3 linked regions of the Kluyveromyces lactis genome follow. The protein of the gene in region 3 interacts with the protein of the main gene of each other region in a pairwise test. Links are inferred from orthologs where the notes say so. Each region holds a gene or a part of one and is shown on either strand. Other genes may lie near its edges.

The links.
Region 1: the proteins of GRH1 (region 3) and BUG1 interact in binary tests that used the Saccharomyces cerevisiae proteins (3 or more experiments, as listed by UniProt). The link is inferred for Kluyveromyces lactis from reciprocal best matches to the Saccharomyces cerevisiae genes GRH1 and BUG1.
Region 2: the proteins of GRH1 (region 3) and KLLA0_F03729g interact in binary tests that used the Saccharomyces cerevisiae proteins (3 or more experiments, as listed by UniProt). The link is inferred for Kluyveromyces lactis from reciprocal best matches to the Saccharomyces cerevisiae genes GRH1 and SEC24.

What each region holds. Positions count from the first base shown.
Region 1 is NC_006041.1:142,713-145,730, forward strand, and holds BUG1 (Bug1p), read right to left. Parts: upstream 1,502-3,018; coding exon 545-1,501; downstream 1-544. Other genes in the region: MRPS8 (mitochondrial 37S ribosomal protein uS8m), read left to right, coding at 1-212; guanine nucleotide exchange factor GET3, read left to right, coding at 2,055-3,018. UniProt on the Saccharomyces cerevisiae protein: Involved in ER to Golgi vesicle-mediated transport by either facilitating USO1-dependent and -independent tethering or increasing target accuracy of fusion events of COPII-coated vesicles.
Region 2 is NC_006042.1:351,603-356,017, forward strand, and holds KLLA0_F03729g (uncharacterized protein), read right to left. Parts: upstream 2,889-4,415; coding exon 114-2,888; downstream 1-113. Other genes in the region: KLLA0_F03751g (putative metalloendopeptidase), read left to right, coding at 3,837-4,415. UniProt on the Saccharomyces cerevisiae protein: Component of the coat protein complex II (COPII) which promotes the formation of transport vesicles from the endoplasmic reticulum (ER).
Region 3 is NC_006039.1:85,236-88,338, reverse strand, and holds GRH1 (Grh1p), read left to right. Parts: upstream 1-1,309; coding exon 1,310-2,476; downstream 2,477-3,103. Other genes in the region: KLLA0_C01155g (uncharacterized protein), read right to left, coding at 1-255; protein disulfide isomerase PDI1, read left to right, coding at 3,046-3,103. UniProt on the Saccharomyces cerevisiae protein: Involved in the spindle assembly checkpoint. Involved in ER to Golgi vesicle-mediated transport by either facilitating USO1-dependent and -independent tethering or increasing target accuracy of fusion events of COPII-coated vesicles.

The sequences.
Region 1 (3,018 bases), on a different chromosome or scaffold from region 3:
TTTCTAGTTGTAGATTGATATCAAAACCAAACTTGAGAATCAGTCTAGATGCACATGATTTGAAGAAACTATGTTCAGGTACCTCCGTCAGATTGATCAAACCTTTGGCTCCTGGTGAATTAATTTTAGTGAAATCTGGGAATGAAATTATGGATATCGATGATGCTATCGCCAAGAAAGTCGGTGGTGAAGTGCTATGCAGAATTAGGTGAATCATCAGTAAAATTCCCAGCAATAAAGACCATTAGTCATATAATCAAAAACAAAGTGCAGAATATTTCATCAACATGTGTGATGGACCATCGAAACTTCCAATATCATCAAAAGGAAATCCACCTCATATTCCATGTATATAGTAACATTCAATCAGTGCGATTTTCCTTTTAGCGACAATCATCAATCGTGTCAAATATCAGTTTTATACATACACTAATATAATTGTATACTTGTACATTATAGCATTATATTTGCCTAAACGAGACAAATGAGACAAATCATAAAAAAATCATAGCTCTGTGGTAATAGTAACAAGGCTGAAACTTACTTAAAATTCCACAACTGGGCCAACACCAACTGATCTCCAATTTGTCATATCGACATTCCAGTTCTTCCACTTAGCTAACATAACAGGGTCTGTCGTTGGATGCTGAATCTGTCTCGATGGCTCGAATTTGGATGGAGAATGTCTATCAAAGGAAGAGAATTCCACAGGGGTTAGTTGTGGTGATTGTGTTGCTCTAAGCTGCTCTACTTCTTGTCTAGACGTAGATAGCTCCTGCTGAGCGGACAGCAATTGTACAGTTTTATCATTGAGTTGAGATTTCATGATGTTTATCTGTTCTTCAAGCTCTTCTATGGAGCTTTCTTGATCTATGTTGACAAACTTCAATTGCTTTACTTGATCTTTTAGCTTTGAAACTTCTTCCTTGAGGTTTATTACTTCATCTTGGCTTTTCTGTTCTTGTATCGTCGAAAGGAAATCTTTCTCTTTATCATCATTCCCGCCAAACAATTCTTCAACTTCATCTGTACTTTTTGCCTCTATTGGTTCTTCCTCTTTTTGTTGAACTGCAAAAGCTTCTTTAGACACTTCCTCGGTTGGGTTGGGTATATCAGTTGCTTCCTTCTCGAGGACTTCCTCCTCGGAGTCTTTCTTGTTCTCCGCAGACTCTTTTTCAGACTTCTCCACAGACTCCTTTTCAAACTTCTCTTCGTTGTTGTCATTGCCCTTTGCATCAGCATTTATCTCAGCCTTTTCTTCAGCTTTTGTCTCTTCCACGATTGGTTGTTCATCTGAATGAACCGGACTCTCTGATACATTAGTATCAGTCGGTTCCAATTCAGTTTCAGTTTCAGTTTTGACTTCAGCTGCTTCAAGATCTTCCTTGTCCTTCTTCTTCTTATTCTTCTTGTTTTTATTCTTCTTCTTTAACTCTTCAACCCTTATCTTGGCTTCTTCGAGCTTTCTGGCTCTTTCTTCCTCGGGGGATAGTTCAGACATAATCAACTGTTCGAATGTGTGTACTCACTTGCATTGAAGACGCCAATTGGTTTTAATATTTAGCTCGCAATTGTTTCAGATTTGGCATTCACCATGTAAATTCTTATTTCATATGGGGCAACTTTTTTTTTTGATCTAAACGTGTCGTTATGGTTCACACATATTTAATAAGAAAGGAATCACCATCATTGAGGCAAACATCGATCAAATAATATCGTTTAATTTCACAATGTTTCAAAGCCATTTAGGTTCGAAAGAGAACAAGATTCAAGACTTTTTGAGAAGCAAACTCAAAGTATTTGTACCATGTTCTTTATTATTCGGTATGCGATTGGTAAATATCAAATTATTATCACCACCGTATATAGTGACGTGTTCTTTAAAAGAACGTAGAAGAAGTCTTCAGCAAGATATTTAGCATTTGTTGTCACTTTTAGTGGCGACATGCGTAGATAAACAGAAGTTTTACAACTAAGACGCCCTCTTATTTCAACTGTAGGAATAACAATCAGTAAGTGTGTAAACCTGAGACCAAGTAAAGCGGAAAAGTACAATGGATTTAACAGTTGAACCAGATCTAAACTCTTTGATAACTTCCTCAACACACAGATGGATATTTGTCGGTGGTAAGGGTGGTGTCGGTAAGACGACGTCATCTTGTTCGATTGCCATTCAAATGGCTTTGGCACAACCAGAGAAACAATATCTATTGATTTCTACAGATCCTGCACACAATTTAAGCGACGCCTTCGGTGAGAAGTTTGGTAAAGATGCAAGAAAAGTCACTGGGATGAACAACTTGTCATGTATGGAGATTGACCCTTCTGCCGCTTTGAAGGATATGAATGATATGGCTGTTGCCAATAATGCAACTGGATCGGGAGAGTTCAGTGATCTTTTGCAAGGTGGTGCACTATCTGAATTGACAGGATCGATTCCAGGTATTGATGAGGCACTTTCTTTCATGGAAGTGATGAAACACATCAAAAACCAAGAACAGGGTGAAGGTGACAGGTATGATACCGTTATTTTTGATACCGCACCAACAGGTCACACTCTAAGGTTTTTACAGTTACCAAGCACTCTATCTAAACTCTTGGAGAAATTCGGAGAAATCACTGCAAGATTGGGACCAATGTTGAATTCTTTGGCTGGTGCCAATAACGTCGATCTTGTTGGTAAAATGAGTGAATTGAAGTCTAATGTGGAAAAAATCAAGGAACAATTCACCAATCCTGATATGACAACTTTTGTCTGTGTTTGTATCAGTGAGTTCTTGTCTTTGTACGAAACTGAAAGATTGGTACAGGAATTGATCTCATACGATATGGACGTGAACTCCATCATTGTAAACCAGTTATTATTTGCTGAGTATGACGAAGGAGACAGCTGTAAAAGGTGCCAATCCAGATGGAAGATGCAAAAGAAGTATTTGGACCAAATTGATGAATTGTACGAAGATTTCCATATCGTTAAGATGCCATTGTGTGCAGGTGAAATTAGAGGTTTAAACAACT
Region 2 (4,415 bases), on a different chromosome or scaffold from region 3:
TGTTATACATATCACTTGTGTAAGGTTGTGTGCAAAGTAAGATTTTGCTATTTCATGGTTTCAATATCTACATAAAAAATGGTATGTACGCAACTTGGAAGCACCTTTTAAACTTACTTCGAGATTCTTGTCTTCATGTTTTGTAAGAATTCTCTGTAGTTCCAGCTGTTTTGGACCTTATCTTCGACCAACTGAGATGCAGTCCATAATCTTAGAGAAGCAACTTCCCTGGCAGAAGGATGGTTCATTGGTTCACTTGGTGAGGCGCCTCTGACAATGTGCAAGGTTTTGTAGAAGATAACATCATCGTGTTCTCTTATCTTTGTAATAACATTCCTCACTCTTAGGTTGAACTCAGTAGCGTCTAATAGAGGTAGTTCATTTTTACCAATTGGAATTTCCATAATGTCCGGGGTTCCAAACACGTCTGTAACAAGCTCTGGGACAGCATCACCGCCAATCCATAAGAACATGTCCAATCCTGTGTCGATTAAATACAGACCGTATCTTTCCAATAAAGACGAGGTGGAGTTAATTGGTTGCGGTAGTACAATTTCACCAGTTTCTTCATCGGGAAGACCAGCTTCGTCAGGCATGTCATGTAAGGAGTATACTGTTGGATAAATGTTTTGAATCAAATATGGCAATGGTAACGTTTCAAGATTATTTAATGCTTGAGCTCTGTGATCAGCCGGAACAATACCAGAACGGAAAGCCATATGTTTAGTTAGAGAATGCATCAATAGAGGCCACATTCTTAGGTTACTACAGAGCATTAATGGAGCTCCGCCACCTGTGTTTGAAGTCAAAACTTCTTTCTTGTATGTAGCCAAAACCTCTTGGACAGATTTGTTGAAAAATTCTCTAGTGTCTTCAAAGCCAGAAGAAGGAGCTCTTTCCACAGCCTTTTGAGCGAAGTATGCTGTGATGGCCAACTGATCTGCAGAAGCATAGACTTCAGTTAGCTTATCAGTAGTTGGAATACCAATAGTTATGACTCTAATTCTTCTTTGGGCAGCATTGGATGTCAATAATAAAGCAATTTGAATGTACACAAAGTCCTTTGTTAATTGTTCATCGATACCAATTTCAAAAACGTATGATTGGTCCCTTGGAACCGTAGCCAAAGCGCACAAGTCTGAAGATCTATTGAAGAAATGACCGTAAAATCCGGTCATTTTCAAGCCTGACGAACCACGAGCTCTCATAACAGCTTCCAAAGATAGATCCATGGATACGTGTTTTGAAAATTCTTTTGAGAACTTTGTAACATCGATCAAGTTTAAGGCACTGAAACCAGGGTAGAAATGGGTTTGGCCACCAGTGAAACGGCCTAGGTTAGAGATAGATGCGATATCGACATAATCGTCGGAAGCCATAAACATATCCACCGTAACTTGATATTTGTTACATTCGATAGGGAAAGATTTGTAGAATGCGTCACCAGTGTTCAATAAAGTGGAAGCTTCCTTGGAAGTATTTGCAACAGCCTTTTCATTTCTCTTATGTAATGTACCTTCACCGACGTTGGCCAAAGTGGCACCAACAACAATAATCTTACCACCCTGAGCTCTGATCAAGTTCAAAGCAGACTTTAGAGCAGAGGCCAAGGCAAATCTTGGTTGAATATTTTGTTGGAAAATTTCTGGTAAGCTAGTCAATAATTTTTCAATGTTGCTTCTAGCCTCAATTAGTGGAACCAATAGGCCAGTGGGAGAAGGTAAGAATGGTTCATCCAAGTCAGCGACGTCGTACATCTTAATGTTGTCACCTTCTTCGTCCAAAGGAATACGGAAGTAATGTAGAGATTGATCAACACAAATAATAGAGATTCTTGTTCTCTCATCATGGTTTGGAATGGTATCCAAGCTTTCCAAGAGAGTTCTTGCAGCAGTAGCCAACAAGCCATTCTTGATTGATGCCTGAGAAACGTCCAAAATGAAAGCGTAAGTGGATGGTGGTGGTGGTCTGACAGCGTATTCTTTAGGAGCAACGAAATCCACAACAGAATGGTTGAATTCGGGTCTCTCGTAACGGTTACCATTCATATCAATTGCTTGAGGGAAGTTGTTCGCCAAGTTACAGAAGTTACATCTCCAACGTAAACCATTCTCGATTACTTGTACGAAGGGGTTCAAGTAGGCACGACAACGTCTACAACGAACCACAACACCGTCTTCGCTAGTTGGCACTGGACATTCAGAGTCGGTTAACTTAGTGTATGGTCTGATAACCATAGCTAATGGTAGTTTCGATTTTTTCAGTAAAGAATTGTTTTTTGGAACGGCGTTCAAAGTGCACCTTAAATGGTCAGAACAATTGTTAACTGTATCGTTAGGAACAATCATCTTCTCTGGAGGGAGCATCAACGGTGGTGGAGGCAAAGACAAGTCAGTGATTGGAGGAGGCAATTCTTGGAACAAATCAACTGGGTACAATTGATTCATTGGTTTACCCACAGCCATTCCTACTCCTGGTTGTTGATATTGTGGTTGCTGCTGCTGTTGTCCGTACGTTTGCCCATACGGCTGTTGCATTGGCTGCTGATACTGCTGCTGAACACCGGATATGTTATCGGCGCCGTAGCCACTGTTCATTGGCTGGCCATATTGAGGAGCCCCACCGTATGGTGGTTGTTGCACCGGGGTTCCAGCTTGCTGGAATGCAGTAGGATCAACCACAGGAACGTTGTGTAATTGCATATTACCAATGCCGTTACTTGCTTGGTCGATCTGTTGATGCAAATGTTGTTGAGCAGGAGTCAGAAATTGCGGCTGTCCAGCACCTACAGTTTGCGGAGGAACACCTCCACCAACAATTGGCTGTGCAATCCCTTCTGCAATTTGGTACTGAGCCTGAGGATAAACACGCTTCTTATGGTGTGACATGGTTCAGTATAATTTGATCTCCTGTATCACTCGATTGTCTGTAACTCTTTCTCTTTTATCTGCAAAAAATACAATGCAAAGAGCCTTCTCCTTTATAAACTTCTGATAAGTCGCCTAGATCCTGACACAGTTATTGACTCTACCAAGTTGAAGATCCAAAAGAGTAGATGCCTCAATCGATGGCAATTGAATATCAAATGTGTGTATTGTTTTTATAATTTTCGGCCCGTTTTGTTATTGTCGAAGAATCGAAATTTGGGTTTTTGGATTTTTGAAATTTTTTTTTTATTTGGTTTCCTTTCAAGATAACTGCTAAATAAACTGACGCGGTTTGAGAGGCTTTTTCCAGCGTATGTATATGGTTGCTGCTTTATTAGCCAATTGCTCAGTCGATGTTAGCTACATATATTGTATTTCTTTGATCATTGACATATGTGTATTGTATGCTGCAGTTCGTATTTGTATATTGACAGCTGTCAGATTTTAATAATAATATTCGGGTAACATCATAGTTCGTGTTCTCTCAGAATCACATAGTTAAGTAATTAATGTCGACGTGGTCATTGTAGAAGATAAAACTTTCGGGCAGATTGTGGGTCACTGATACTCCCTCCAGACACTGTACGGGCTTTAACGAACCTACCTGTGGTTATGCAGTGCTTTATTTGTTGATGGATATTTAGAGATATAAACCTTGCTATATCACGTGATATGAAAGTTCGAGGTCTGCTTATTTTATTTACAATGTGCGTAGATTTTGGATCAGATCTTTAAACAAGATGTCTCGAAGGTAAAACGATTTTAAATACGAGCAATCCATCCATTGTTCCTAGTATTCGATATCATAAGGTTCTACACTGGTAATTCAGCTAATACCTGTGACTGACACTCAAATCTGCTTCTTTTTCCCACTGGTACACCATAGAATACCCTTAATTAAATCAAGTGATGTCCCAAATCCAATTTTACAACATCAAGAACGGAGAAGAGGTTCATACACCCGCACTTATTGTCCACGGAAATATAAATACAAATGCCAATTCTGTCCAAGTGCATCATTCGCAGCTCCCTCCCTTAACGTTTCCCGTTAACAACCACGGATTCAAGTGCATTATTTCTTTGACTCCTGGTGAAAACTTACTATGGTTCACTGGAAATGACAATTCTACGGCGCAATTAACTATTCAATACGTACCATTGTTACAGAACCCGCCAATTCATCTATGTCTACTACTCGCTAAAGATTCTCCTCTGAAATATGATGCACCAGCTGTACAGATTCGTAAGGAGGGTGGTAACGGTCTCGATTTGGCCATAAAGAAATTGAGAACTGGTGCACGGATCATGCAAGCTTTCACTAATGAACAAATGGTTCGTAACGGCGTCGGTCAAAGAACTTTCCGATTCGTGGAAGAATTCACGAAGGATACCCTCCTAAAGGATGACGAGTTAAGAAACACCGTTAAGATTCATATTCTAAAAAGTGAGAAGACTACCGTGGAGCTAAGAGATATTAATATCGCACAA
Region 3 (3,103 bases):
GCAAACTCTGAAATTAGTACCACCTAAATCAGCTGCCAACATGGTTACTCCATGTTCCTGACCGGATGGCTTGTCAGTCACAAACGTCGGAATCATAGGCAACCCTTTGTTTTGACTGATATCTGATTCACAGGGTTCTAATCCCTTTTCCATACAATCGATGAAATACTCAGTCAACTGAGATATCTTCGATTTAGTAACAATGAACTGATCGCATATAGAATCAACCGCCTTGGTTAACTTAGGATCTGACATTATGCTCTAGTTGTTATTCTTTTAGCTTGTCTTGTCGTGTCTTGTCTACTCTTTAACAAGAATCCTTGATCTTTTCTACAAAGTAAAAAGTATGAATTATCCTTTCTCAACTACAGTCACTCTCTTATATTATAAAGTAGAAGAAACTGCGCACCATCTCCAGTTGAAACTGTTTTTTTCACGGTTTTTAGAATATTTGAAAATTGTCACCTGTTAGTCACGGTCGCCGTTACCGTTACTCTTGGCTACTCGAACAAACAACGTTATTGACGCATAAGAAAATGCGGGGTCACGTTTTGGTTGACCTTATGGGCCGAATGTGTGTATTGGCTCAGAAGATCATGGTATATACGAACCAGTGAGTGCTCTGGGCTAGACCAGTTTATACATGTATATACGAACCTGTACTCGTTGTTGTGGATAGATACGCACCAGTGTCCTTAAAAGCCGTTTCGCGGCTTGCCTACCGATTGGGCAATCACCGGGAATTCACGTGTATCAATGCTGAAAGGCAGGTTGTTAATTAGGTGGGGTGGGAATGTAGAGTCCTGAAACTGATAAAAAGAATTCAAAGTACTACTATTTCAGCTTTGAATACGTCAGTCGAAACAATGTAGAGATAATACTATGTAGCACATTTGCAATTGTACTTTTAAGTTTCCTTTCGCGTTGAATGGATGGGAAGAAGGTGAGAAAATTGTAAGGCTCCTGAAGGTAGAGATTGTCGTTTCTACTTAAAGACTATCTCGATCGTCTAGCATGCCCGATAGTCCATTGTCAGAGCGTTACGTTGATGTTTGGCTGCTATTTCCACCGGTATGAAATGAACCATTAGCGTTTTGTTTGTAGGTCACGTGAAATGCTTCTGAAAACTCCAAAATGGTTTCCGTTTTCCTATTGCATGTTTTCTTTCTTTGAAATCTTTAGCCAAAGGTTGAATGTAGAAAATACTCGTCTGATCTAATCTAGTCCAGTCTGGGGTGATCCTACAACAGTACCTTGGCACACCGGCTATCCGATTTGAAACTGTTATATTTGTCATTGCAATATAATTATGTTCAGAATAGCGAAAAATCTTGTCAGAACTCTTGAAGAGTCTGTTACTGGAACGGTTGGGGACAAACCTATTGATTCATATTTTCATTCAGTACCACCACAATTGTTCCCGATAAGGGAAGATGACCCTAGATATGCTCATCAAACGGATTCTCTATATGGTTTAAGAGTGGTACAAGTTGACGAGTCGCAATTGCAATTAACTTCGTTCTTTGATTATATCATTGGTTTCAATAACCAACCGATCCCCTTGGTACAGGATGGTACCATGGGTGCATCACAGACGTTCTACCCAGATTATAAAAGGATTATATCATTCTTCAATGAGCATTGTGGCAACACTATCAAGTTACATGTATGGTCTGGTAAAGGGGGTGTTTACAGAGAGGAGTATCTTTACGTCTCGGCGAAAAACTCTGTGAGCGAGATCCCGTTGGATGAAACAGATGCGCAACAATCCCTAATGACTTCTAAGATGTTTGAAGCGTTAGGTTTCAAAGTGCAATGGACCCCATTAATCGCTGTTACGTATAGTTACCATGTTTTACAACTAAACATTGAAAACGGACCCGCTATGCAAGCAGGATTGATTCCAGATCAGGATTACATTATCGCATGCCAAGATGGATTGCTAGCAACTGGCGGTGAGCATCTGTTACAAGACATTGTCAGATCAAGAGCGAACCATTCTTTAGTACTATACGTATACAACAAAGCCGTGGATTGCGTAAGACCTGTGACGGTACACCTTGCTGCTGACGGAAGGCTTGGATGCAACGTTGGCTACGGTTTCTTGCACAGAATCCCGGCACCTATCCAAAATTCACAATCAATTATCCACTCTCCAGCAGCCGTTGAATCTCACAATTCAAACAACATCATCCACCCAATTACACAACCAACTTTAATTCCTGCGACGTTGGCTAATAATGCGGATAATAAAGAAACGATGCCTTCAAACCCACTTCAGGTACCAGTTCCGGTTGGAAGAAGACAAGCACAGCTTCACCGCGGTTCGAACACTACCAATGCTGCGGCTGCTTCAGCATCAATGGCTGACTACTTCCAAGAGGGAAAAGATCAATCACCAAGATCCTCATCAAAGGCAACCCCTCCTCCTCCACCTCCAGCTTCTTCTACTGCTAGTAATACGGCTTCAGACTGAATCAATATACAGAAGAAAAAAAAGAGTAACAGAAGCAGTAAGATCCTTAAGGGCTCTGCTATATCGATATATTAAAGTATAAAGTATACTTCAATTGTATATACCATCAAGTATAACAACCGCTCTCATCTAGTAACTTCTATGGTGCAGCGATCGGTAAATGTGCATACGTAATGTCAAAAGATCAACGATAATCTATGAAATTCAGAGTACTCGTTACCCGCATGTACATATCCTTCCCATAATACCACTCTGTCATTTTGGTGCTTTTTTCGAGTTTTCGTACTGTTGCCTCCAAGTACACGGCCACCTTAGGTAAAAGAAAAAAAAGGTATATATAAACTAGATTTGCCATGTAACTTCGATCTTCTCGTGTTAATAGTTAATTATGAGTAAAGATAAGTCTGTACTTTATCATTCATTCAGTTTTTGATCTTTCCGTCAAGTTAACAACTCCGTTGATAATCTTTCCTCTTTTACAACGCACGCAATTGGAATCGGGTGTTTTCAAGAACTAGTTTCGGTGTAGTCTGATAGTATAAGAGATCGATAGAATCGCAAAGACAAAGATGTTGTTCAAGAATACCGTTAGATTTGGTTTGGCTGCTTTGATGGCAGCTAGTTGTT